Linked DNA regions of Elephas maximus indicus. The protein of the gene in region 1 interacts with the protein of each later gene in a pairwise test. Links are inferred from orthologs where the notes say so. Each region holds a gene or a part of one and is shown in the gene's direction. Other genes may lie near its edges.

Region 1 (6,898 bases):
TCCTGGAGCCATAGGGGCAAAGTGAAAGCTGGGAGGGACTGAGGTCTCTGCCTAAGGCTACTAAGTTCCTTTGTTTTTGTCTCATTATCTAAAGATTCCCTGGTTCATCTTGTTTTAGAAAGGAATCTCCAGTCTTTTGTAGAGGGGAGGGAAGGTGGCCCCTCTGCTTAGTGCATGGTGGGAGGCAAGGTAGGGGGCTCCAAGCTTCTCAGCTTTCGCCCCATCCTCCTTATCTTTCCCTTCATCCATAAAGACCCAGTGCTGCTGGTTTTGAGCCTCTGATTTTCTGCTACAGAGCTGGTGTGGATCAGCTTTTCTCACTACCAGTCTAGGTCTGTTTCAGGTGGCTAAGTCAGTTGCAACCACTCTGTCCCCTCATCTACTTATCTGGTTTCAGCTTCTGACATCAGGATGTCTTTTTCCCCATTCCCTGTTCCAAGATTCTTTCTTTCTTTCTTTTTAATTCCTTTATTGAAGTTCTTACAAGGTTTTTGGTGGACATGAAATTAGATCTCTGTGATCCACCATCTTAACCTGGAAATGAACTGCACTGTATTGTATATTTACTTGCCCATTATGCACCTCCCCTACTAGAATGTAGATTCTCTGATGATAAGACAGGGCTACAGCCATTTTCTTAAAATTGTTGTCTCCTCAGGACAGCCCCTCACCCAGCCCATTTCCTAAAGTTGTTTTTCTTCTCAGAACTTCTTTGAAAAGAAATAGCCACCGGCTAGCCAAAATCGACCAAAACAGGTCCTGCCCTCCATCTTGGCACTAGAGATAACCTTTAGCTCATTAACTGCCTCATGTGTGGTAAATTCTCTGCACCTGGGTTGAGAGCTAACATGCTAACAAACAAAAATGGCTAACTTCCTCCTCCATGAGGAATTGAACCCAGGACTTAGAAAATGCTTACTCATTTTAAAATGCTCTGTGCCTGCACCATTTTGTATTCTGAAACTAATCTTTCCTATATAAACCAGCCTTTTTTTTTTTAACAAACTGCCCGCCAGGCAGTCTTGGATGGCACAAAGTCGCGACTGTCTTCTTGCTTGCCTTTCCCTCTTCCCAACTCAGTCTCTGTGATTTTGGATGGAGTAGTGCTGAGCAGAACCTGGAGCTCCTAGCAACAATGGCAGGGCTCTGTTTTGTTCATTTCACACTTTCAACGCCTAGACAGTGAATGGAACAGAAGTGGGTGCTCAGGAAATGAGTAAATGAATGACCTTGAATGAAGGACCTAAACAGGGTACAGGATTCCATACACTTGATAAATGAGTTAACCAGGTAGCACGTTCAGAAACACGCATGGTCTAATTGAGTATTTATTTGCTTTTATTAATTTTAATTGGAACTTTTTTTGATCACTTGTTTCTGTGGGGAAAATTATAAGTAGATACTGAAGGAAAAACTTGGAGAAGGGTGATCACTGAGTTTTAAATTAAGAATGATTTTTATATGTGCACTGAACATTAGTTTGGTTGCTTCGCAGTCGAACCTCTTTATAGTGGACTTCTACTTTACCAATCTGGAGAAATAATAATTTGAATTTTATTGTGTCACTTCTTGAATTAATAAAATGAGGAATATAAGAATAAAGTCCAGATTCAATGCAGTTTGTCATCCAGCCTGTGAATACTTCTCTGGATTCGAGACCTGAACAGTGCAAACGCTTGTCTTCTCTGTGTCACATCTGAGGACAGCCTACTCTTCTGCTGGCCATGTAACCTATGAATAAAGTCCTCTCTGTGGAAAACTCTTTTCTTCTTGCTCCATCAATACCCACTAAAAATCCTATCCAAATCCATCTTCCAACTCTCAGCTCAACTGTCATCTCTTTGAAGAAAACCTTTTTGTAGGCATGAATATCTTTTCCATGCTTTGCCTTCTGATAACCACCATACTTGTAATCTACTTATAACAATGAGCACAGTAGGCCTGGTGTCCTGGCAACTATGTCTCTGTCTGGTTTATTTACTACCAGTTCATTACAAAACAACAGCACAACACTGATATTTCTTGAACTGTATTACTGATGAGTCCCCACCCTTTTATCTGGCCCTGGTAACACATGAAGGTAATCATGCTGAGTAGTTAGGTTTGTCAACTAGAAAATTTTTTCAGCAGTGACAGAAAACAGGATGTTGTTTCTCTATCACCTTTGAAATTTCAACTATTCCTCAAGGGTGATCTTTATGAACAGAGCAAAAAGAAGGTGCCCTTTGCCCTGGGAATATGTTTATTTTGAAATAATTGTAAGCCAAAAATGCTTTAAAAATTAAAAAAAATATATACTTGTATTCAAAGGGTCTGATTTCAGAAAACTGGTTCAATACTGGGCAAAAGAGTAAGTCATAGGGAAAGAAGGTCCTACTAAGATGAAAATACAAGTGGAAATTAACTTCTCTGGAGGGTCCACTCTCAAACAGTGCTGATAGGAGTGTAAACTGATTATCAGCTTCCAGGAGGGCAATTCAACTACATGTATGTATAAAAGCTTTAAAAACATTCACAGGTACTGACCCAGTAACTGCATTTATGGTAAAAGTAGTCATGCAAATGGTTAATGAGCTTGGCTGCTAACTGAAAAGTTGGCAGTTCAAGTCCACTCAGAGGCACCTCAGAAGAAAGGCCTGGCAATCTACTCCGGAAAAGTCAGCCCCTGAAAGCCCTATGGGGCATGGCTCTAATCTGACATACATGGGCACACATGGGACTGCCATGAGTCAGAATCGCCTAAACAACAACTGGTTACTGGTAGTCCAAAGAAATAAAACTATAGGAAAACATTCTTCCATAAACACGCTCATTCCAGCATTGTTTATAATAAAGATTAGCGACATTCCAACTGTCCAGTAACAGAAGAATTGGTTAAGTTACGTGGGCATAATAGAATAGCAAGCAGCCATTAACGATGTTCTAACATTGATCTCTCAATTTTATTAAAACCATGTTCTCTATGTACGTACGGAAGACCTGGCGGTGTAATGGTTAAGTTCTACGGCTGCTAACCAAGAGGCTGGCAGTTCAAATCTGCCAGGCGCTCCTTGGAAACTCTATGGGGCAGTTATACTCTGTTCTATAGGGTCGCTATGAGTCAGAATTGACCCGACGGCAGTGGGTTTGGTTCTCTACGTATATAAAAAATTAACTAGGAAATATACCGAACTTTAGTGCTTTGGTATAAAGACAAGGGCATTTTTGTTCAGTTTCATCTCTAGAACTTGGTACAAAACATAGGGCACAGTTGGCCCTCAATACATTTTAAAAATAATACAAGATGATAACACAGAAGAAGAAAATTAAACACTTTCTTTTGCTGAATGAACATGGGTTCTCTCTGAACACTGGTGCGGTGTATGTTTTGATATAGTTTTCGGTTCCGAATTTTCTAGAAAGACCTTAGGTGACTATCACAATAAAATGGATAATAAAAAGTGTGGGCTGGAATCAATACCCTTCAGATGACCTCGGACAGGAGCTGATCTGCGTAAGCGTGGCTCCTGGAACTCAGTGCATCTTTCAATGCCTAAATCCTGGGGGCTGTGCCGAGAAGAATCCCCCACTCCAAGGCCGGTCCCCGAGGCGCAGGGCGCCCCCACAACCTCGACCGGCCAGAGACAGGCTCGTGACCCCAAGATGGCAGCCCTCCCCGCAGCCGCCGCCGAGCGCTTCCGGGCGTTCCCGAGCGTCTCCGAAGCCAAGAGGAGCCCCGCCCGCCAAGCGGCCCTCTGAGGCTCGCCCTGCGGTCGCAGCCGAGCGCTTCCGAGAGCTTCCGGGCGTCTCCGAAGCCCAGAGGAGCCCCCCGGGAGCCGCGCGGGCGGGCCGGCGGGCGCTGCCCCGCCCCGGAGCCTGGGAGCGGCGGCGCCGGCGCGGGGGAGGGGAGGCCGGATGTGAGTGGAGCGGCCATTTCCTGTTTCTCTGCAGTTTTCCTCCAGCTTTGGGTGGTGGCTGCCGCTCGGCTCCGGCTCGCAGTCTGCTGAGCGCAAGGCGGCGTGGACAGCGGCCCCGGCACTTCGCGCCCCGCCGCCCGCAGCTGCGCGCCTGCCCGCCGCGCCCCGCGCCCGCCGCTTCTTGCTTCACCGCGCGGCCGCCGTCGCCTCCCCGCGAGCGGCCCAGATGCAGGCCATCAAGTGTGTGGTGGTGGGAGACGGGTGAGTGCGCGGGGCCGGGCAGGGCGGCCGCGGGCGGGGGTCGGGCCGCGGGCGGGGGGCGGCCCTGGCCGGGGAGGCCGGAGCCGCGGGCTCGCCTAGGGGCCGGGCCCGGCCTCCCCTCCCCGGGCCGGGCGGCGGCGGCGCGGACCCCCTCCCCTCTTCCCGGGACCGGGCTGCGCGGGCCTGGTTCCGCCTTTTTTTGTACGTGGAGGAGGGAATGAGCGCCGGCTGGAGGGAAAGTGAACTCCACCCTCCAGCTCCTGCCCTGCTCCCGGGCCCGCGGTGGGCGCCGGGGCCGGAGTCGCCGAATGCCCAACTCCCCTCCCAGCGCTGCTCCCCACGCTCCCCTTACTTGCCTGTCGGTTAGGTGGGATTTAGAGTCGCCTTTTAAAAAAAAGAAGGACCGTCGGCTTTTATAGGATCCTCTCGTGCCCCATGCACCCCATTGAGCGCTTTCGTGGGCAACAGTGGCCAAGTTAATAATGTTGGATGAATGTTTTCCTGGGCGGGGTTGGCGACCCCAAACTTCTTTGTGATGAGATATCTTCGACTTGCGCTTCGCCGGTTCTAGGGCTTTTAGATGATTATTTTTGCTATTTCTTAGAGAAACTTTTTAAATATATTTCATTTCATTTTGTTGTTGGGAATGTGCGCAGAGCATTCATCAATTCACCAATTTCTACACGTCCCATTCAGTGACATTGATTACATTCTTCGAGTTGTTCAACCATTCCCCCCTCTCCTTTTCTGAGTTGTTCCTCCCTCGTTACCATAAACTTACTGCCCCCTAAGTTTCCCATCTACTCTTTTTGTGCTGCTTTTGTCAATTTGCTCTCTGGGAGAAGCGTTTAAGATTTTAGCTGTGAAGAAAGGAGCTGGGTGTGATTAAGATTGTTCCCTTCGTTGAACATGATGTGGTCCCCCCACCAGAAAAAAAAAAAAAATTGGCCTTCGCTTAATGCGTTAGGTATGGGGTGTAGCAGAACAGGCTGCCAGAGCGGAGCTGCCCTGTGACTCAAGGCATTTCTTTTCATTACTGTCTGGGGGGGTTCCAGGCCCTAGAGGAAGACAAGACTTGTCTTATGCAGGTTTTTTTTCCTCCCATAGAAACAAGACTCTCAGTATAATCCGAGCGGTGTTGTGCGTCTCAGCCTCGCTCGTGTAGTTTGGTGTTAACAGGGAAGCTTGAAAACTCACTACCAGTTTCGTCACGTTCAGAACGCAACTGATACATTCTCAAGTGTGTAGAGTCGAAGGAGACGTTCTGGAGTCACTGATCTTTTAATTAGCGTGCTTCAAACTTGTCATCAGTACTGATTGTGCGTGTATGCCTCTAAGTGAATTTATTAATTCTAAGTTTGACATTTGAAATGATCTCTGTGACAATTGAGATGCAAGAACAATTAGACATTTGATTGACTTGTCGGACTTAGAGGTGAGAAGGGTGTTAATACTTGGTGGTTCTATACATATAACTGAAAATTGTTTCTCTCACTTAAGAATTTGTAAAAATTTTTTGTTTTTCTGTTTTTAAACCTTTTAAAAGCTTTAAGGCCCCTGCGTGGCGTAAACGGTTTGCACTCAGCTGCTAAGCTAAGGGTTGGCCAGTCAAACCCGCTCAGCAGTACCTCAGAAGAAAGGCCTGGCAATCTGCTTCTGTAAATATTTCAGCCAAGAAAACCCTATGACGCAGTTCTACTCTGTAACACATGGTGTCACCCTGAGTCGGAACTGACTCCACGGCAACGAGTTAGGTTTGCTTTCTGTCATTTGACTAAAACACGTTCAGTTAATTGGCTTAAGTGTGAGATCAATAGATTCAGTTAAATGAAGTTTTGATATTTGCATAATGAATTAATTAAACATGTCACTTTTTCTTAGGAACATTTTTAATTATCTGAATTTCCTTTAAAAGTTAGAAATGCTAAATCTATAATGCCTACGACAGCCAAACTCATTGCCACTGAGTCGATTGTTACTTATAGCGACCCTATAGGACAGAGTAGAACTGCCCCATATGGTTTCCAAGGAGCGGCTGGTGGATTCAAACTGCCAACCTTTTGGTTAGCAGCCATAGCAGTACCACAGCTCCCAATACTTTGAATATGAACTAATACATAGTATTTTTTTAAGTCAATGAATTGCTGATAATTCCATATTCAACCATAGGATGTAATATTCTTACCTTAAAATATCAGAAGGGAAACCATAAGTGCTAGCAGATATGTTTAGCTACTATTTGTATTGACTAGTTTATAGTCCAACAACTTATTGACTGCCTACCATGAGATCTGAATCCTCCCTTCAAATCCCTGCCCACCACTTATGGGGTAACCTTGAGCAGATCATTATCCCCCAAGAGAGGTGCCTCAAGGGGAAGTCTCGCGGATTAAACAAGATGCTGTATATTAAGTACCTCCCAGGTGCCTGGCCCCCGGGTGAGTGCTTAGTAGTGCCAGCTTCCATTATTCTTATTTTTGCTGCTTCTGTTACTGTGAGGCACAGCTAGGCTCCGTGAGGGAGTGCTAGGCATAAAACACAGTTCCTGACCTGAGTTTTCAATAAGCCTTCTAATGCTGTACTTGGTATTCTCGATGTTGTAGTCAAGAAGCAATATTAGGCTAAGGCTGAGCAACATTAGAAGTGAAATGTACCTTTACAAAAAACTGAAGCTGTATTACTTGAAATAAGGACTGGTAAGGAGCAAATGGAAACCCTGGTGGCGGTAGTAGTTAAGTGCT
Region 2 (7,253 bases), on another chromosome or scaffold:
TGAAATGTTGGGGGTGTTGGAGGAAATTTACATAGGGAGTCTCAGAAGGGCCTCATGAGGGAGATGATATTTCAACAGGCCTGACAGAAGTGAGAGAACAGTCACCTGGAAATCAAGGAAACAGTATGCCAGGTGCAAAGGCCCTGAGGCCGAGGCCCTGGGGCGTAGCAGGTGAGCCAAACCAAGCACCCAGCAGGGAAACCACAGATGCTGTGGGGCCGTGGGGTCCACAGCAAAGACTTCGGCTTCTACCGAGGGGATATGCTGTGACCTGATCAGAATGACTGCTTTAACAAGGTACTCGAGCAGCTTGAGGGGGTGTCTTAGTTCCCTGGTGAGGCTGTATCAGAAGTTCCACAGGTGGGTAGCTATAGCGAACAGAAGTTTATTTTCTCACAGTTCAGGAGGCTGGAAGTCTGAATTCAGGGTACTAGCTCTAGAGGAAGGCTTTCTCTCTTTGTCAGCTTGGGGGGTGGGAATTCCTTGTCTCTTTCAGCTTCTGCAGTCCTGGCTTTCCTTGATTTCTTGGCCATCTTCATGTGGCATCTGTCTTCCTCCATTTGTCCTTCCTTGTCTCTGTGTTTATATTGTTCCTTGTAACTCAGAAGCGATTAGGTTTAGGATATAGCCTACGCTGATATGGCCTCAACATAACAAAGAAAACCCTATTCCCAACCGGGATCACATCCACAGGTACAGGGTTGGACTCCAACATATTTTGCCGGGGGGGGGGGGACACAATTCAATCCCTAACAGGGGGCGAGGGAGGAAGAAGGGTGACTAGACCCAGGCTAATGGTTATGCTTGGCCCAGGCTGGTGACATGGGTGCAGGGTGCTGTGGTGACCCCAGGCTCCTCTTCAGCTGCTGGGGATGTCACTCTTGGCTGAAGGGACCTGCCTTGCCCGAGACTATCCCCCCTCGGAGGCAACTGGAATCCAATGACTAATGGACAAACGGAGTGGGTTCATTTGGGATATGTCTGAGGGCCACCCACACCAGAGCTCCTGAGGGATCAGCCGGGCCTCTGTTTCAGCTACATTGAAAGGAAGTTACTTGTTCATCTGCTGAACGTGCTGGTGCCCCATGACCCGACTCACACGACAAAGACGGTATGCTCATCACCACGGCACCTCCTCTGCTGCTGTGGAAACCAGAGGGCAGAGGCCCGGGCCCAGCAGGCTCTCGGCTCCTTCAGGCAGTTCCCAGGTAACAGCTACTACATCTCATGGAGTCTAAGATGTACATTTGAACATTGCCGAAATCAGGGCCTATCTTCCAATCGGTGGCTTGCTATAGTTTCATTAAAAAAAAAAAAATATATATATATATAGTTTCATTAGCAGTGTTTTTTTTTTCAGTGGTACATAAAGTAGTGGTTCACCTTAGATTGATGGCACAGTAGATTCTAGAAGCTGTAAAGCTCAGGTGCTGGTCTCTGCCCGTAGAAAAAATTCTAAAATATGTATAGCACTCATGTGTAGAGTTTTAAATTATGTGCTGCCAGGGAAGGTGGGAAAGAGGGGGAGAGAAAAAAATAACTGAAAGACTTGGTCCCCCCGTCAATGACCTTACTGTGTACCATACAAGTGGAGCCCTGGTGGCACCGTGGTTAAGCATTAAGGCTGCCATCCAAAAGGTCAGCAGTTCAAATCCACCAGCTGCTCCTTGGAAACTTTATGGGGGCAGGTCTACTCTGTTCTATACAGTCACTATGAGTTAGCATCAGCTCAATGGTAAGGGTTTTTTTTTTTTTAATATATATATAAAAAAAAAATTGAAGTTCCCAGCGTACGACGTATTTGAATTACAATGAACTTACGATGTCCCTTTTTTTACATCTTGTCTTTAGTAACATGTAGTACATATAGTGTCGCAGTGCCTAATTCATTATCATTCTCAGGTGTTCACTCACTGTCATTCAGTTTTATGATTTACTGTCCAAAACGCTGTGTTTTGAAATGAAAACAAACAAAAGAGGTGTTCAACTTATGACAGAGTTGTTGGAACAGAGCCCCATTGTAAAACGGGGACTACCTGTAATTTGTCAAACAAGGCTATTTGTAAAAAAGAGATATAAAAACATTTTTCAAATAATCTGTGAGCAAGTGCCAACTGAAGTGTGAATGTGAGTGCATTCTGACACAATTAACTGAAACCTCAAGTATTTCAGGAAGGCGTCCTGGAAGAAGCGATCTTTGGGTTTAAAAGGAAAGGAAAAGCGAGTGTACCAGTTTCCTAGAGCTGCTGAAACAAAACACCATAAGCTGGAAAGCTCGTAAGAACAGAAATTTATTGTCTCACAGCTCTGAGGCAAAAAGCCCAAATCAGGTTATTCCAAAACCAAACCAAACCCATTGCCACTGAGTCGATTTCAACTCAACGACCCCACAGGACAGAGTAGAACTGCTCCACAAGGTTTCCAAGGAGCACCTGGTAGATTCAAACTGCCGACCTGGCTAGCACCCCCAGGGCTCCGAATCAGGGTGTTAGCCATGCTGAATCCCTTTGAGGGCTCTGAGGAAGAGTCTGTTCCATGCCTCTCTCCTAGCTTCCGGTAGTCCCCTGCAACCCACGGCGTTCCTTGACTTGCAGCTGTTTCTCCCTTTGTCATCACATGGCTGTTCTTCCTACGTGTTTCTTCTCCTCTCTCATAAGGACAGCAGTCATACAGGATTAGGACTCGCCCTACGCTGGTATGGCCTTGTGATAATATTTTCTGGTAACGTTTTCAAAGACTATTTCCAAACAAGGTCACATTCACAGGTTAGGATTTCAACATTATCTTTCTGGAAGACACAATTCAATCCATAGCAGTGGGCCAGCAGCTTCTTCAATGGGCACACTTTTTCCTGAGGTAGTAATATCTCCATTTTACAGATACAGACACTGTTCAGACAGCTATGGGATATCCACCACAGGGAGCTGAATTTGTGAAGGAAAGAGCAGGAGGCTCCAGAGTGATTCAAATCTCAGCCCCCATTGTCCACCTCACATCTACTTTATTCCCCAAATCATCACTCGAGAGGTTTCCCACAAATAGCAGAACCCTGGTCTGGCCATTCCTGAATGTCTGTAAGATATCACAGTGTCCACTCGGCGCTCGGGCACTGCCTCCTTCTGGAACAACTCCAGGAGTAAAGGCTTGGTCCACAGTCTTCAGTTCGAACAAGATGGGGCAGGGAGAGAGGACCAGGTTGGTTTGGGGGACTGATGGAGACACCCCCATGGAAGTCTCTGGGATCATCTGGACTTACTCATCAGAAGAGAAAGAAATGAAACTTCCAAACCTCGGTCCACCTTCCCCCAGCTTGCAGAAAACAGACAGAGCAGAGGTCTGGGCTAGCACTCAGTGCCCACAGGGAAAGTGAGGTGCAGACAAGTTAAGGTCAAGGTCCCACAGTGAGTAGCAGACCATGGTCTGGAGAACATGGGCCTATTCTGTCCCTTCCATGACAACGTCCTGTTGGTCCCTAACAGCTCCACCTGGCATGGACAATGGACTGCAAATCGTCATTTATAGAAAGTGGTAAAGGCAACACTGAACACTCTGTGCCAGGCGCTTACTGAGGCTTTACCAAATTAATTTTTTAGCTGGTGCAACTGGTTTGTGCTTGATTACTAACCTAAAGGTTGGAGGTTCCAACGTACCTGGCACTGCTGCTGAAGAAAGGCCTGGCAATCTGTTGTTGCTAGTTGCCCTCACATCAATTCCAACTCATGGCGACCCTATGCGCCTCAGAGTAGTACCGCTCCATAGGGTTTTCAAGGCTGTGACCTTTCCGAGGCACCTCTGGCTGAGTCTGAGCCGCTAACCTTTCAGTTAGTGGTCCAGCGTTTAACCATTTGCGCCAAGACGAGACTCCTTTAAGATTGCAGCCAAGAAAACATTATGGGGCACGGTTCTATTCTGTAACACATGGGGTCGCCACGAGTCCGAATCTACTCTGAGGCAATGGGTTTCTCCTCACCGCTACCCTATTACTCCCTCCCACTGTACAGACAGAGAGACTGAGGCACAGAGCGTTGTACTGACTTGCTCAGGGTGGCAGCGGTGAACCGCAGAGGGGGCGCAGCGCCTGGCCGCAGTGGGGAGGCCTTGGCCGCCTCCCAGTGGCTCTCAGCCTCGCAGGCCCGCCGGCCTGCTGTCCTTATAAGGCCCCGGACGTCCTTTCAGGATTACACAGGGCACCAGGCACCCCCGGCCTTCATCCTCCTCCGCAGAGAAGAATGCCTGGCATCTTCCTATCAGCTGTTCGCCCCGGGAAGCCCTCTTCCCACTGGGGCGCAGGATCAGCCCCTACGCGGCCTCCCCTCTGGGGAACCCCCTGGCCCGGGCCGCGCCCTCTCACCTGCCCCGCGGGCGGAGGAAGAGGAGGAGGTGGAGGAGGCTGGGAAGAGGAGGAGGCCGGGGAGGAGCCTGCGCCCGGCGGGAGCGCCGCACAAAGTGAAACTCCTGGAAGTGGCGGCGGGGAGCGCGGGGACCGACGCGGCCCCGGCCCCGGATCCCGGCCCCGGCCATGTCCCTGAGCAAGGGGCTGCGGCTGCTCGCGCGGCTGGAGCCCGCGGGGGAGAGCAGCGTCCTGCTGGAGGCGCGCGGCCGCGGCGACTGCCTGCTCTTCGAGGCCGGCACGGTGGCCACGCTCGGTGAGTGCGGCGCCTGCCCCGGTGCCCTCGTCTCCGAGCCCCGGTCCCCTGCTCTCCGGGCCCGGGTCCCTTCCTCTCCTGACCCCGGTCCCCTCCTCACCGGGCCCGGGTCCTGCCCCTTCCTCTCCTGGCCCCGGTCCCCTCCTCTCCGGCCCAGGGGCGGCCCCCAGAGCGGAGACCCCGCATTTGCTGAAACCGAGCAAGGGCACCTCCCGTCCCCGGGACTTGGGGGTCGCGCGTGGGGGGCGGCCTTTCTGAGTGGCATGGCGAGGGGACGGAGGTCGGGGACACTCCCGGGCCAGGCTCTCGGTCCGCGCCCGCCCGCCCGCCGGCCTGTGCGCGGAGGGTCGAGTTCTCCGAGCGCCGGGCTCCGGCGATTTAGGGCGCGCGCCCTCTCGGGGCGCGTTACACATTCATGACGGTCCCAGTGCGCCGGTCGCTCCCCTTCTGTTGCACCGGCTGGTGAGGAAGCCAGGGATTGCCGTTTGGTTTGTGGGTCTGGCTTAAGGATCAAAGCCCTATAACGGAGAGACGACCCCCAAACTGCAGCTAGCGCCGCCGCTTGAAGTGTTAGTACAGCAGAGTAGAGAACGTGGATTTTGACACACTACCTGGTGACTACATTTCTGCCGGGAATATTTGAAGGGAGGCACAGAAGTCCTGAGAGGGGCGGTGTGCTCCGAGGACTTTAGAGACATAGTCTCATTTAATTTTCACAATTAGAAAAGAGATATTATTATCCTGGTATTGCAGATGAGTAAACTGAGGCCTGAAGAGAAACTTTCTTGCCAGGGCGACACAGCTCCTGTCTGAGCATTTCTGTAAGGTCACACAGTGCGCGACTTCTTGTATCACTACGTCCCCTCCCTTGTTTTGTTGCCAGCATTCATGACCAGGGTCTAGGTAACACCAAAGTGAGCAAAAGCGGGTAGGATTGTTAGGATTTTAAACAGCAACACAGGACAGTGGGCTTAGGGTGGTCTCCAGGTCCACCATCTTTCTGTGTATGAAGCTGAACAGAGCACAGAGCAGAGTCACCTGGAATGGAGGTGCCGGGCAGGTGCAGCGGACGCTCACTTGCTCAGGTCTTTAGAAATGTGTCTTTTTTTCTGCATTCGTATCCATTGCCTCCTCAGTGAGGATGGATGCCTTGGAAGCACCATCTCTCCTATTTCCACTTCCCTGTTCCTTCCGTGAGGGAGACCCAGGTTCGATTCCCGTCAACCAGTGCACCTCAAATGCAGCTACCACCTGTCAGTCAGTGGAAGCTTGCCAATTGCTAGAATGCCGATTAGCTTTCAGTGGCGCTTCCAGACTAAGACCAGGAAGAAAGACCTGGCAATCTACTTCTGAAATATCAGGCCGTGAAAACCCTATGGATCACAGTGCTTTGATCCCTTTGTGCGTGGGGTCGCCATGAGTTGGGGCTGACTTGATGGCAGCTAATGATGACAGCAGTCACTTCATTAGCATATAATTTTCTGGCTTGTTTTTAGTCACTTGACTACTGAAACAATGTCTCCAGTATTCTCAGTATCACAAATGTGCAGTGAATTGTGGATTAAGTCATTATCCGATTATTCCAATCTGTGCCCTGTCCTGAGAAGTCCAAATTTGGTCATTTGGTAAGGCCTTGAAAGAAACCCACAAAAATTTCCATTCCATTTTAGACGTCTACTTCATAGAACGTTTATCAGAACTGAGATTGATTTCATGGTACGAAAATACCCCTTCATCAAAGATATGAAAATGTCCTTCGGTTGGATCACAGTAAAGTAAGGTTCATAGACATTTAAGCCACCAGGGGAAAAAGATTTTTTTTTCCCCAAAGCGAAGATTTTAAAATGATTAATGAAAGTAAAATAGTGCATATTTTCCATTAAGAAATGAAGTTTGTGCCGAGATGCATTTGTATTACATTGGTGGTTGATTCCAGGACAGAGGGTATAAGGAAATGGGTGGAGGTGTCCTGCCGGCACAGTGGTTAAAGCTCTCAGCTGCTAACAGAAAGGTCGGTGGTTCAAAACCACCGTGGTTCCGCAGGAGAAAGATGTGGCAGTCAGCTTCTTTAAAGATTCACAGCTTGGGAAACCCTGTGGGGCAGTCCTGTGGTGTCCTGTAGGGTTGCTATGAGTAGGCACTGGTTGGGCTCTTTTTCCTACAGCGTGCACTCCACATCTGTCACTTAACCTAGCATTCATTTATCAGGAGACCTGGGGTTGAATAACAAAAGGGAAAAAAATGAGTTGCCTTTGAGTCACCTCTGACTCACGGTGATGCTGTGTGTGTCATAGCTGTGCTCCATGGGGTTTTCAAAGACTGATTTTTTGGAAGTAGGTAGCCAGCCCTTTCTTACGAGCCACCTCTGGGTGTGTGGACTGACCACACCACCCAGAGACACTGGCTGGGCTGAATACTTAACTTTTGAAGTCTGGTTTTCTTAAATGAAATAAAACTCTTTTTACAAAGCAGCTGTAGCGTTTGCTGGCATTGCTGCCCCAGAGGAGGACTGTAAGAACCTTCTATGACGAGAAAGTTGTTTCAACTTTTTAAATACCCGAAACAGGTCACGTCTGTACAGTGTGGCTCAGGACCTGAAATTTCCGT
Region 3 (6,970 bases), on another chromosome or scaffold:
ACTGTTTATATTTGTACACTATCTGAAACCTGGTATATTTTAGCACTAAAATTAAAAGAGTTACTTTTATTGAAAGAAAGGATTCTATGGGAATAGTTCTTTGCTGTAATAATGAATTTCTCCCCTCTTCACATCCATTCTCTAATTTGACTTGACCTCATAGTGTTAATCATAAAAATGTCAAAACTTAGATCTGGAAGGTTCCTGAGCCCAAAGCCTTCATTTTTGAGATAAGGAAACTGAAATTCATGAAATGACTCACCAGTTAGGTGGTGGCGCATTGGTGACAGCTTGTGTCTAACAAGCTTCAGTAAAGGTTATTTCTCCCTAAATGTCAAAGTTCTGAAGGAACAAAACATTGAGGTGATTCCTAAGGCGATCAAGCCTAACACAAAACTAATCATATGCTTCTGGTTCACTTTGTATCTTGTACGTAACTGTTTCTAATAGTTAACTGAAAGGGAAAAAAAAATACCCTAAGAAGTTGGTGGTGGTAAAGTTTTGTTAGGAAATGGAGTTTTCTAGAAGAGTTGTTGAATCGTTGAGGAAAAAGAAGTTATTCAACTGTTAAATATTATCTTACATTTTAAAAAGCAAAGCCCAAATAGGTTCAATAACTTCCTGAAGTTCATAAGGTACTATTTGACAAATTTGGAGACTAAAATTTCAGTCTGATTTTCTGACTGGCGGGAGATAAAATTGGTCATTTTTAAGTTGAAAGAGTTTGTGGCCTGCCACACAATTCAAATGTACCTGTGTAAACAGGAAAATGACAAAATCCCATGGGCTTTATTTTATTTTTTTGCAAGTGTTCTAACCTGCAGATCTCCTTGACAACCTTTTTTGGTTATATAACCAATGACAAAGCAAGGCAAACTTTCCCCATCTAGCTCTCACATTTCCTCCTCTCTCTTGGGGGAAAAATGTTTGCTGACTGTTGCGTTCTCAGACAGTTTTAGGATGTTGAATCAAGTCACATACAGGGCTGTGACCTTCAGGGGATCTGAAACCTTTGGGGGAAAGGAAGAAAAGCAGACAAACGGGCACCAATCCAACTGCCCGCTCCCCACCCCCACCTTCAGGTGCAGCCAAACACCCTGGCCCTTTGTGAGCTCAGCCCATCACGTGCGCACATCTGCTAGCCAATCCTGCCCTGTTGCTGGGCTCCTGTCACTTTTCCATTGGTGCCAGCTCTGAAGCAATCTATTCTGGGATGCTTGCAAAGGATGGATCTGTGGGTGGAAAGAACTGGAAACAGATCCAATGACTAATCCTGCTTCTCGCACATTCTAGTACATTGCATTGTAGGTCAGGGGTTTTAGGTTTTAGGAACGTGACTTGATACCTGACTCCAGAGTCCAAGGGGGACATTCAGACTTTGGGCCTTGGTGGCCTTCTCAGCAAGTAGAAAAGCAGTTGTAACAACAAATCCTTCTGTAGAGCAGCGATTGTCAGTCTCAGCCCTGTTGACATTTTGGGCTGGATAATTATATGTTGTGGGAGGCTGTCCATTTTAGAATGTTTAGCAACATCCCTGGCCTCTCCCCACTAGATGCTGGTAGCATTCCATAACCCACAATTGTGACAATCAAAAATGTCTCTAGACATTGTCAAATGCCCCGTGGGGGACAATATTGCTCCTGGCTGAGGCCTACTGCTCTAGGAAACCACCCACCTCTTTAGGGAGGCCATTGCTGTCCCCTAAGCTCCTTCTCCCCAACTTCAGGGTCCTCAGGGAAATGTTTACTTCTTGTTTGTTTCAACGATAACCCACTCTCGGACTTAAAGTTAGGGAATACGGGGGTGTTTCAGAGATTTTTTCTGCTGGAGACAATAAGTACCCTCCCAACTAACAGGAACTTTATTTTCTTTGTGGAGGTAACCCTTGGCCTAATCCTTTCCTCCTCTTTCTTTTTTCCTCTTTGCCTTCTCTTCCTCCTCTTCTCTCTCCCCTGCCTCTGAAATCAGGGATGTTTTTCTCTGTACCTTTTGACTCTGAAGATAACCATGTCACATAGCTCGTGACTCAGCCTTTAAGCAACAAGAATTACAAGACTTGCAACAGCCAAAAGCAAACAGGGTGTGGTTTGAAGCAGGGCCTGGTCACCTTAGAAAGAATCTGTTTTTCGTTCCTTTAACCGAAATTTAAAGAGAAATAACCTCATAGCGAACCTCAACTTTTTGTTTCTTTAACGTCTCTTTCCAGAAATTTAGAGAGAAATAACCTTCACAGAACTCTGTATTGGAAGGCATTGAAAATGGCATTCCATTCTTTATAACTCATTTTTAATTTTCCAGTAACACATTACTTCATTGTCTTGGAAAAATGCTTAAAATTACAGAGGTTAAAATCTATTTTGAACAGCACTCAGATCTTTTGTGTTTTCATAAATACATACACAGGCAACCATAAAAAATATATATAGCATTTGTTTTGGTTTGATTAAAATTTTAAGTGTGTTTAAAAATAACATCTGTAACTTAAAACAGGAATGTATTCTATTCCTGATAGCAGAAAAATTTTTTCAGTCAGCTGGCTCTTCTGTCTCTTGACTTTTTTAAGGTTAGAAATTAAAATACGCACATTTGTAGATGCAGGGAGTATTTCTAGAAGAATCCAGATGGAACGGTGGCCAGACAATTGAGGGGAAAGAGGTAGATTTCACTGTGAACTTATAAAAACCTGTTCTGAATTCTCACCGTGTTAATATATTTTAAAACAGTTAAAAAATAAGCTGAAGAAGTGACATAGAGATCATAAAAATAAAAATCTGGGCTGGTGATCGTTTTTCTTCTCTTGTATAAAAATGGAATTTGCCTGTGGAAGTAAATTTCATACTCTGGATATTTAAATTTTTTTTCCCAAAAATATACAAGGCTGAGACTCAATTGGTGTCAAATTTTAAAATGAGTCCTAACTGCGTTCGATTTCTGAGCTGAACTGAACATCAACAGAAGTGAAATTTCGAACGCCTCTTGTTTACAGTGAAGTGCAACCTTTACAAAAACCCAAGGCCCCAGCGAATAAACAGGAAGCTAAAGAACAGCCTAGAAATTTCTGTGTGTCAGCTTTCAATTCCAGCGCAAATAATTAAAAAAAAACTGTGGGATTTCCTTTCTTTTTCCTAATTCAATCCAGGCACGCACATTCATTTCTCCATTGGAAAACTGTTTCGTTTGTTTTTGAAGATTTCCTGTCCTTAGGACCAGACTTTAGTTGAGGCCTGGATTTTGGCCTTGGCCTTTGTCCTGGCCCAGAGGCTGGGCCGCAAATCTGAGATTTGTCGAGTCATTCGCCTTGTCCCCGTGCCAGCTCCGTGGGGGGTGGGCAGGGCCGCCTCAGCAGGGGTGCTGGGAACCCAGGGGACCCTCACGACAGGCCTTGGTGGTGGGGGGACACAGTGAAACAAACACTATAATTATTTCAAATGTGAACCAAAATAACGACCCCTGGCTTCGGATGGGGGCGGGGCGCGCCAGAGGGGAGGCGGACCCAGACTGAGGCGCTCGGCCCGAACCTGTCGCCCGCCAAGAGCTGGTGTCGCCAACGGCGGGGACGGTTGCTGTGGGGAGGGGGGGCGTCGGGGTCGGGCTACCGGCCACGGAGGCCCACCCGCTCCGGACACCCAGGCGGCTCCGCGCCGGGTTTTCGCGCCGCCGCGAGCCGCCCCCACCCGGCACCCGCTCCCTCTCCCTTCCCCCAAGGCGTGATGCGGTCACGTTCGGTCGCAGCGCACTGTGTACGCGCTGATTCCTCCGCCAGGCCCCTCGGGACGGTGATCCGCTGCCCACCCGACCCAGCCCGAAAGCCCCAGTCTTGACAGGAGAGCATTTTATGAGGGGACTTGGATGAGTTTGGGGTCTAGTTTTCTTTCTAGGTTGCCAAAGGGGCTGGGTAAAATAGTTCCTTCTCGGCGTTTCTGCGGAGGAATCTCCCTGGGGCGGAGGCCTGCTATGACTATATAAAGAAGCGCCGGGTGTGGTGCAGGGACGTCCGTCGAGGTCGGTGTTCGTTTCTGTTTCTCTTTGCGTTCTCTGTTTCCACAGCCGCTTGGTGAGTAGGATCCTGCTATGCTGGCCCGGGAGCCTCGGGGCCGTCCGGCTGCGAGGGGTGGGGGACAGACAGTGCTGCTCGCTGCGGGCGAAGGGCAGCCGGGGCTTTTAGTCTCCTGGGTCCTGCAGCAGGGTGGCCGTGAGGGGGACGAACGCCGCAAAATGGCGGTCGCTTCTGACTGAAAGGTCGGAGAGAGGAAACTGAGGGAGGGAAGGTTGTGAGGGGAGAGAAGCGCCAGGCCGCCCCCAGGGCTCAGCGGAGGGAGAGCGAAGCTCAGGTGGGCGTGAGCTTAGGCTTCTGTCGGGCGGGCTTGGGCAGGGGAACCTGACGTTGGCGTCTGAGTTTTGGGGAGTGACTGGGAGTAAAGGCCGGGTTGCCGGCCGCCGTGGCCGTGGCCAGCTCTGCACCTCAGCCCCCGCCGGAGAGGGAGCCCGCGGCCGCAGCGCTGGAGCGTGACGTCACCCGCTCTGTTCGGCGCACAGTCTGGGGTGGGGCCGCCTGCCCGTAAATGTGTGGGGGAGCTTTGTGGCAGTCACGGGGCGACGCAGAGTGTGGGCCTGGGGGAGCCCCTGCTGAATCGACGGGGGACAGACGTTCTGGCGGGGGAGGCTGCCGAGTTTCTACGGTCAGGGTGCCTGCCAGCCTGCCTTCGTGAGGGGCTAAAATCTGGGGTTTCAGGTGATTTGTCATATCTGTTAGGTTTGTCACTGGTTATATCGTGAAGTTTTTTGGGAGAGAATTGTTTTGTTTTTTTTGGTCTAGTAAAAAATTGTTATTTTTTGGGTTAGGAACGTAGTGACGTTTGAATTACCTGCTAAAGTTTTGGGTCCTTTGTTTCTTTCTGTTCTCAGACAATGCAGATCTTTGTGAAAACCTTAACGGGTAAAACCATCACCCTTGAGGTAGAGCCCAGTGACACCATCGAGAATGTCAAGGCAAAGATCCAAGACAAGGAAGGCATCCCTCCTGACCAGCAGAGGCTCATCTTTGCCGGGAAACAGCTGGAAGACGGACGTACCCTGTCTGACTACAACATCCAGAAGGAGTCCACTCTGCACCTGGTTCTCCGTCTGAGAGGGGGAATGCAGATCTTCGTGAAGACCTTGACCGGTAAGACCATTACCCTTGAAGTAGAGCCCAGCGACACCATTGAGAATGTCAAGGCAAAGATCCAAGACAAGGAAGGCATCCCTCCTGACCAGCAGAGGCTGATCTTTGCCGGGAAACAGCTGGAAGATGGACGTACTTTGTCTGACTACAACATCCAGAAGGAGTCCACTCTGCACCTGGTTCTCCGTCTGAGAGGGGGAATGCAGATCTTCGTGAAGACCTTGACCGGTAAGACCATCACCCTTGAAGTAGAGCCCAGCGACACCATTGAGAATGTCAAGGCAAAGATCCAAGACAAGGAAGGCATCCCTCCTGACCAGCAGAGGTTGATCTTTGCCGGGAAACAGCTGGAAGACGGACGTACCCTGTCTGACTACAACATCCAGAAGGAGTCCACTCTGCACCTGGTTCTCCGTCTGAGAGGGGGAATGCAGATCTTCGTGAAGACCTTGACCGGTAAGACCATCACCCTTGAGGTAGAGCCCAGCGACACCATTGAGAATGTCAAGGCAAAGATCCAAGACAAGGAAGGCATCCCTCCTGACCAGCAGAGGCTGATTTTTGCCGGGAAACAGCTGGAAGATGGACGTACTTTGTCTGACTACAACATCCAGAAGGAGTCCACTCTGCACCTGGTTCTCCGTCTGAGAGGGGGAATGCAGATCTTCGTGAAGACCTTGACCGGTAAGACCATCACCCTTGAGGTAGAGCCCAGTGACACCATCGAGAATGTCAAGGCAAAGATCCAAGACAAGGAAGGCATCCCTCCTGACCAGCAGAGGCTGATCTTTGCCGGGAAACAGTTGGAAGACGGACGTACCCTGTCTGACTACAACATCCAGAAAGAGTCCACTCTGCACCTGGTCCTCCGTCTGAGAGGGGGAATGCAGATCTTCGTGAAGACCTTGACTGGGAAGACCATTACCCTTGAGGTAGAGCCCAGCGACACCATTGAGAATGTCAAGGCAAAGATCCAAGACAAGGAAGGCATCCCTCCTGACCAGCAGAGATTGATCTTTGCTGGGAAACAGCTGGAAGATGGACGTACCCTGTCAGACTACAACATCCAGAAGGAATCCACTCTGCACTTGGTACTTCGGCTCAGAGGTGGAATGCAGATCTTTGTGAAGACCTTGACTGGTAAGACAATCACCCTTGAAGTAGAGCCCAGCGACACCATTGAGAATGTCAAGGCAAAGATCCAAGACAAGGAAGGCATCCCTCCTGACCAGCAGAGGTTGATCTTTGCCGGGAAACAGCTGGAAGATGGACGTACCCTGTCTGACTACAACATCCAGAAAGAGTCCACTCTGCACCTGGTCCTCCGTCTGAGAGGGGGAATGCAGATCTTCGTGAAGACCTTGACTGGGAAGACCATTACCCTTGAGGTAGAGCCCAGCGACACCATCGAGAATGTCAAGGCAAAGATCCAAGACAAGGAAGGCATCCCTCCTGACCAGCAGAGGTTGATCTTTGCCGGGAAACAGCTGGAAGATGGACGTACTCTGTCTGACTACAACATCCAGAAAGAGTCCACTCTGCATCTGGTCCTGCGCTTGAGGGGAGGTGTTTAAGTTGTTCCCCCTTTTCTCTTAAGCTTTCAAGAAATTTCATTGCACTTTTCTTTGAATAAAGTTGTTGCATTCCAAAATACTGTTCTTTATTTTTAGTGCTAAGTCACGTTCCTTTGGGGCTTGGTTGGGGAATTAAGGTTTACGGTTTTTGAAGTGTTCAAGTGGGAACCTTGAGGAGGTGAGATGTTGGCCTTGAAACATGACCTCAATACATAAATTAAGTGGATGGCTA
Region 4 (7,446 bases), on another chromosome or scaffold:
GTGGCAGGGCTGAGGGATGGTACAAGATCCCCCTTAGAGAAGAGCCTCACCTAATAATCAGTGTTGAACCTAGACACCACATGAATACTTTTAATAATGGGGAGTGGGAAGGGGGAAATATATCCAGCAGGAGGATGAGCTAACTCTCTAGTATCCTAGGAAATGGAGTTCAGAACATGATACAGTCCATGGATAAGGAATGACATAAGAGTAACTAGTCAGGCACCAGGAGAGGAGGGAGAACTCTAAAATTGCTGATTGCTGTCTCTAGTTTTATGGACAGACTGGGTAAAAGAAAGGGCTAGCTCACAAGTGACACTGAATCTCCCAGTACCCCCTTTCTGGCTCCTAAGCTATTGATTTAAGGCAGAATGATTGCTACCATCCCTGGTGAGTGAAGGTGGCGGACGGCACACTTCAACAGTTGCAGATAAGATGGCTCATAGGCAACAACAGAATTCTTCCGTGATATCTCCCTGAGAGTAAAGTGGTTTCCTCCTAAATGTGTACCATGATAATCTGCTAAGGGCATAATTTATGTTATCACCAAATAGCTCAATTAGCCCTTCAGTTAACATTTCTACACTATCTCCATATGACCTTGCTTCCTAGGAAATTCATAGCCCAATGGAAAAACCCTTTGAACTCAAACCTGACTTTCCCCACAGACCCACGGACCCAGCAAGAAGTAGAAGAGAAATGGTAACAGAAAAGTAGGGGAAGGAAAGAGAAAAAGCAAAAAGAGAGCCCAGAAGAAGAACTGGACCCACGTTTGGCACTTATCAGGGGGCACCCTCAGCACTAAGAAGTGGCAGGGAGCAGACAGGAGTGGAAGACAGCTTTCTAGATGCCTGAGTAATGTTGTCACTCTGTGGTTGCATTATCTGGCTTCTTAAGTTGTGAATTCATGCCACCATTAAAAAAAAATTGAGAGTTATCAAATAGAGACAAAGAACCACCATGTGCACATTTCAAATAAGGTGTGTTCAGTCAGTCCAGGCATAGCAATACATTACCAGGTAATCAGTATTATCTTAATCCAAACCCTTAACATCTTGAATCCAACTTATCAAGAACCAGGGACCAAAAGTTTTCTCAGGCTGCTTCAAGATGAAAATTTCTGTAACAGTGGAGTTCCTTTTAGAAATTCTGAGGAAAGCAGAGCAGATTCTTAGGGCTGTGTTAAGGAAGGGCACAAGTCTTTCTGGTCTATCTGGGCAGCCCTGTTTTGTGACAACCTACACTTGCTGGTTTTGATGGTGTGGTGCAGTGAATTACTTAATATGGTCATTTTAACCACACACGGTCTTGTGACTCCTACCAAATGACTGGGTGGGACTATGCAAGTAAGGTGCTTGTGGCCCACCAAGGGGATTGGACAGCTTGCTAATAATGCAAATAAGGTACATGTAACCCTAGTGGGGGTGGAGTCATGCAAATAAGTTGAACGGGATCCTAATGAAGGGATTGGTCAGTTTTGCTTTCCCACTAGGCTTAAAATGAGCCATCCCAGAGCAGAAGAGTGGACCTCGCTACCACCAAGAAGAAGAGATGGAAGCAGAGTGCATCTTTTGGACCTGGGGTCCTGTGTGGAGAACCTCCTAGACACAGGAGACAGAGGGCGAGCTGTAACACTGCAAACAGCATAAGATGATGAGACACGATGGCAGAGAAACAGTAGCAGCAGAACCAGGGCCCACAGAGCAAGGCAGTTACAGTGGGTATGCCAGCCCATGGAGCTAGAAAGCTGAGCACCTGTAGGCCAAGGCTTATTGGTGGAGTCGGGTACTCCTGGGCACTTACTGGCAGAGCTAAAGAGCTTTGTAACCCTTACCCAAGCAGGGCAGAGGCTGGGCTGGCCCAAGAGGCCAAGGATCAGGAAGAGTCCTGCCTATGGGCACAGCCGAGAAGCTGTCCTGACAGAAGAACTATATTCTGAGTCTTTCCTGATCCTCATAACTGTGACTTTGCCTACATGCTTCTTTATCCTGATCCTGAGTTGTAGCCTGTTACTTCCCAAATAAACCCCATAATTGTGAGTATGTTCTGTGAATTCTTTGTGGTCACTGCAATGAATTATTGAACCCAGCAGAGAAGTAGAGAGTGACGTGGGAGGGAGGGCTGGTGTCAGAACTGGTAAAAAGGTTGGAGGGCAGAGGTATGTCTGACCTCCACCTCACAGGAATCATCAGTCTTGGGCTGATGTTGATCTTGATTCTCTCTCTCCCTTGTGAAGTTGGACAAGGAGGTTAGACAAAGCCTCTCTGCCAGGAGCACAGATGGCAATTAAGGGAATCTTGTACAAAGCTAATACACTGTGACGTGTTCTGAGAACTATTTGTAAATTACTGATCTCATACTCAATTGATGAACTTTGTGAGGAAAAGTTATATTTAATAAAAAATTATTTAATTAAAAGATAATTCACATTTGAATAAGGTCTGTTGATTAGAGGAGGCTTGGCTGTGCAGTGATTAAGCACTAGGCTGCTAATTGAAAATTTGGTGGTTCAAACCCACCAGCAGCCCCTCGGGAGAAAGATGTGGCAATCTGCTTCCATAAAGATTACAGCCTTGGAAGCCCTATGGGGCGGTTCTACTCTGTGAGTCAGAATTGACTCGACGGCAATAGGTTTGGTTTGGTTTTGGGTTTCTGTTGACCAGTTAATATTATTGTATCAATATAAATTTCCTAGTTTCAAGATTATACTTTGTTTGTATACTATATTAATATTTGATAAAACTGAGTAAAAAGCATATAGTCATTCTTTTTTGTACTATTTTTTGAAAATTTTATGTGCTGAAATTATTTCAAAATGAAAAGTTAAACCTTTTTTTTTTTTTTTAATATTTGAAAGGGTAATTCACAAGGGTTGGCAGTTCATCCATAATTTGTGCTCTGGGGGGCTGGACCCAGGAAAAAGTACCCTTTCTCCCTCTTTCCTTTACTGACAAGGTGATGAAATCCACTGTAAGTCAGATGAAATAAAGACTACGAACGTCCTTGCTAGAGTAAACTACACAAATCTTAATAGTAATAACTATATCCCCAGATGGAGGACTATAAGCAAAGGAGAGTGCAAGCCATTTGTACTACATATCCTACCAAATATTCTTCAAGCAGTTTGCAAAATGTTTCGAAATTGCTGCCCTGGCAATAGGAAACAAGGAGTCATTGAAGGGTTTTTCGAAAAGCTGCCATAAAACAAGTCATACTTCAGGGAGAGTCATCTACCAGGCCTTAGGTTCTTAGGGTGGATGAAGTGGGAAGAGACTGGACTCAGCCATTCACACTAGGAGTTATTCTAATAATGGAGGAGTGGGATGACCCTCTCTGAGTGAGCCTGGGAAGGAAGAAACTGACACGAGAGGCATTTGAACGACTCATTGGTCTGGGCGGGACTAGACTGGAGATGGGATAAAAAGAGAGAAATGAGTCAGGCAGTGGTTACCTCAAGTGTCTCGCCAGGCTGACTGATGACTACGGCAATCCTGGTGTCACTAAGAGACGGATGGGAAGTGTTTAAGGAAGGACACTCCACAGAGCTTGAATCAAAAACTAAAGTGGCTCCAGGGGCCAGGCAGGTGCAAAGGGAAGAAGACAGCAGTGGGGGCTGTGAGGCAGGAAGGCTCACCTCTCTATAGAGGATGCCTCAAAGGGAGTATCCACCTCTGGGCTCCAGCCCGACCTTGCTGTGTGGGAATGCATTTATAATGTTATCAGATTTTCCATTTTTGCAAACGAAGCCAGAAATCCAGATTTCTAGTGTGAAATCTCTTAACTCTTTATTGTTAGCTACTAATTAAAAAAAATTTTTTTTTTCTTTTAAGCATGGCATGTGCCAAACCAAACACATCTGTGGGCCAGATTCAGCAGGCAGGCTACCAAGTTGTGACCTCTGAGATAGAGAAAAGGGCAAGGGTCAAAGTTCATAAACTGTCATGGTGATACATAGGGCAACAAGTGATTGTAAAAGGATTCCATAACTAAAATACCATAAATAAAGCTTTTGCCAGCAATCTGAGCTGTAGAAATGCCCTTACTCTTCAAACCTATACACTGATTTGAATTTATACAGGAAGTTTAATCTAATCCCCAAACGGTTAACTCACAAGAATTTGAGTGCTCACTGTGTGCTGAATACACAGAAGTCTAGGAATTTCAAATCTAACTGAAGAAGCAAAAAACATGCCCTGCTGAAGGAACTTGAGACAATTTATGAAGCAACCAGGGAGATTACAACCTCCACGTTATGCTAGAATCTCAGGGATGTCTTAAATCAATTCAACTGAGCAAACTTTGTCGTAAAGCCTGTGTGTGTGTGTGTGTGTGTGTGTGTACTTGAATCCGCCACCAGGAATCTGATTTCCCGGGAAGTGATTACAAAGCCCCAGCCTCTCCTCGCCCAAGGGTATTCTTGCCTCAGCGTGAGACGGGAATGAGCTGGGGTTCGGGGTACACCGACGTCCGGGAGGACAGCAGGAGAAACCGCTCTGTCAGGCTTCTCGGCTGGAATCCCCGTCTTTGTTCCTGTCATTACTCTTCAAGTGTGTGTGTTAGGAGAAAGGCGGGCACCAAACTAGAACGTGTCCAAGCCGTGATGACAATGAGGGTCAGGACAAGGCAGAACTTTGTTTGCGGTGCCATCTAGCCCCCTCAAGCCTGCAGGCCAGGGCGCCTCCCGCCGCCGTCTTCAAAGGCAGCCTCTCCGGGGCAGGAAGCGCGCGGCTGTGGGTGCGGGTCCTCCGGGGAGAGCGCGGTTTCCTCCCGCGGCCCGGAGCCATCTCCAGGGGCGCGCGGCGGCCTCCGCAGAGCGCCTTCTCCCCCCAGCGCGTCCTCCTCAACCCACCCACCTACTTCCTCCGGCTCGGTGCACACACCAGCTCGGGGCTGCCAAAAACGTCCCCCTCCGCCCCCCTCCCTGGCTAACTTCCTTCCAGCGTTTCCTGAGCTGGATGACCCTAGGATTTGTAAGACAGGAAAAAAAGGAAGGCGTGAGGGCGGGCGAGAGAGACAGGATGCTTGTTTTTCATTTCACCACGGCCGTCTGAAGGCAAGACAGCGGGCCCGGGGACGCGGACCCACGGCGGCCCCTGGGCTGGCCCCTCGCCCCTCGCCCCTCGCCCCTCGCGCTCGTCCTCTCCCGAGCACTTAGGAAGGCGGAAAGGGGGGGCGCTCCCCTCCCTCCGAGGCAGAGGAAAAGCACCCGAAGACTCGGCAGGAGCCTGTGAAAGTCCCTGGGACTCCAAGTGAGGAAGTGACACTCCCCAGCCAGCCGGGGCGCAGCTGCCAGCTCCGCACGGCCTCCCCGCGGCGCGGCCCCGGCGAGCGGGGTGCATCCCAGGCTTGCTCGCCGCGCCCCGCGGGGTTCCTGTGCGCTCCCGCGCCCCCGGGCCTTGCGGACGCCCATGCGGCCCCCCAGAGCCGCGCTGCAGCCAGTGAGCTAAGCCGGGAGACCGTCTCCGGCGCGGGGCCAAGCAGAGGGGAGGGCGAGACGGAGGGGCAGCCTCTTTGGGACTAACTCATGAAGAACAAGGGTGCCAAGCAGAAGCTGAAACGAAAGGGAGCCGCCAGTGCGTTCGGCTGTGACCTGACGGAGTATCTGGAAAACTCGGGACAAGATGGTAATGTGCTTTCGCCTTTTTTTTTTTTTTTTTTCCTATCTCTCTCTCTCTTTTTGTTTGACAGAGAGATGGACACTTCTGGGTGTGTTAGATTCATTTCACAAGTTAAGTAATTCCAGGCCTGTGCGTTCATGGTATACATATATATATATATTAAAGAACGTACATGATTCTTAGGGCGCGCAGCGCTGCCACCCCGACGTGCAGAGGCTGGGTCAGCCCTTCCGTTTGTCTCTCGAAAGAGCGGTTACTGGGAGGTGCTGCTCCAAGCTTAACCAGCTACTCTGAGGGTGGGGTGGGAGCTGGAGGGGACCAGATCCTAAACTTCGGTTGCTGGGGGGCGCGGATTTTGTAGCCTGGTCCTGTGGGGGCTTCCCTGGGCCCATAATTATGAGATTGCCTTAGGTGTCCCTCCCTGCCTCCAATTTCATTCGCCCGCATCTTTTTTTACTAATGTGCTGGAAGGCAGGAGCTGGGATCTTGACTGGGGGAGTGGTTGCAAAAACATTTGCTGAATTTCTGAAGGAATGCTGAATATATATAGTATCTCCCTCCCTCCACCACCCGCCCCCCGGCCCTTTTTACCTCCTCTGGCTTTCATTTGGTGTCTGGGACAAGAGGAGTGTAAAAAGGTCAGAGGGCTCGATTTTAAAATAGTTTGGGCGCTGTGGAAAGAAAAGGAGGGCGTTCCTGTTTTCAAGGTCAGCTTGAAAAAAGAAGGGGGGCGATCCCGGGAAAGTAGAGACAATTTAAACATTTATTGGGGGAGGGGGAAGGAAAGCAATCTAGAACACAATAACAGCGTTTGAAGTTAGACGTTTCAATCATAGGAAAGTTGGGAAAATGGAGCATTAAATGATTCCTTTTGTAAGGTTGACTGGCCCTGCACTTATCCACGACAAAAAGGCCTTGTCTTCAGAAACTTCAGAGAGAGAGAAAATACACCACTATATGTGCCGTGTGTTTATACACAGATAACTACAACAAAGGGGGAAACTTAAGTGCCGTTTAACTATGAAGAGATTCTGCCTCCCGGGAAATAATCTGAAAAACCATTTGATTAGTCCATATCAAGTGTGCATCTCACAACAGTGCAATGCCTTCGTTTTTTTTAGGGACTCAGCACCACCTAGTAATTTGTAGTCGTGTGATGTTCCTGTGGGATCCCAGAGTTCAGAGCCTGCTGTGTCATTAGGACAAATGGCTTAGTGTTTTTGAGTTTGGGGGACCACAGTTCTCAAAATTGCGCCTTTTGGAATTGAAGCATAACTGAGGCAATTCATTTAATCCTCACCAATCATCTTGAGAGGTAGATGTGAAATAAAATCACCTCGATTGAGGTTTTTTTGTTTGTTCATTTGTTTTTGTATCAGAGAGAACTCTAACCGCTACCCTCTGAAGTTCAGAATCAAATACTTTCCTTCACCTGTTTTTGCAGGGGCCTTTTTTTTAAGGTCCAGGTACAGTACGAATGCTGCCTGGATGTCACCTTCCCTCCCCCATGTGGCTGTTTCTCTGTATCCTCTCTCCAAGGCTGAGAGAGTTGCTGGGGGGTGCTTGCTAGCCCTGCCCCTTTCTTACAGCATCCTAGATCACAGAATGCTCTGGGGAAGTTTGGGGTTCTGTGCAGATAGCTCAAAGGCAGCTTTCCGCAGCTCTTCTTTCACCTACTTTTTATATTGTGGGCTTCCGCATAGGTTTCATTTGGAATAAAAGGAAAGGAGCTCCTGCTTAACGAAAAAAATGGAAAGTCAATGCTTTGTGCTACCCACCTTGGGGAGGCGGAGAGGAAACCCAGAGAGGTAAATCTACCTGCCCAAGG

Evidence for each region.
Region 2: the proteins of RAC1 (region 1) and SYNJ2 interact in a two-hybrid assay, tested with the Homo sapiens proteins (2 studies listed by BioGRID and IntAct). The link is inferred for Elephas maximus indicus from reciprocal best matches to the Homo sapiens genes RAC1 and SYNJ2.
Region 3: the proteins of RAC1 (region 1) and UBC interact in a two-hybrid assay, tested with the Homo sapiens proteins (2 studies listed by BioGRID and IntAct, with this or other methods). The link is inferred for Elephas maximus indicus from reciprocal best matches to the Homo sapiens genes RAC1 and UBC.
Region 4: the proteins of RAC1 (region 1) and ARHGAP31 interact in a two-hybrid assay, tested with the Homo sapiens proteins (2 studies listed by BioGRID and IntAct, with this or other methods). The link is inferred for Elephas maximus indicus from reciprocal best matches to the Homo sapiens genes RAC1 and ARHGAP31.

The regions. Positions count from the first base shown.
Region 1 is NC_064830.1:100,915,354-100,922,251, reverse strand, and holds the start of RAC1 (ras-related C3 botulinum toxin substrate 1), read left to right. Parts: upstream 1-3,885; 5' UTR 3,886-4,122; coding exon 4,123-4,157; intron 4,158-6,898. UniProt on the Homo sapiens protein: Plasma membrane-associated small GTPase which cycles between active GTP-bound and inactive GDP-bound states.
Region 2 is NC_064819.1:230,244,260-230,251,512, forward strand, and holds the start of SYNJ2 (synaptojanin-2), read left to right. Parts: upstream 1-4,232; 5' UTR 4,233-4,519; coding exon 4,520-4,646; intron 4,647-7,253. UniProt on the Homo sapiens protein: Inositol 5-phosphatase which may be involved in distinct membrane trafficking and signal transduction pathways. May mediate the inhibitory effect of Rac1 on endocytosis.
Region 3 is NC_064840.1:5,697,696-5,704,665, forward strand, and holds UBC (polyubiquitin-C), read left to right. Parts: upstream 1-3,946; 5' UTR 3,947-4,054; intron 4,055-4,905; 5' UTR 4,906-4,908; coding exon 4,909-6,738; 3' UTR 6,739-6,817; downstream 6,818-6,970.
Region 4 is NC_064819.1:9,631,673-9,639,118, forward strand, and holds the start of ARHGAP31 (rho GTPase-activating protein 31), read left to right. Parts: upstream 1-4,427; 5' UTR 4,428-5,524; coding exon 5,525-5,624; intron 5,625-7,446. UniProt on the Homo sapiens protein: Functions as a GTPase-activating protein (GAP) for RAC1 and CDC42. Required for cell spreading, polarized lamellipodia formation and cell migration.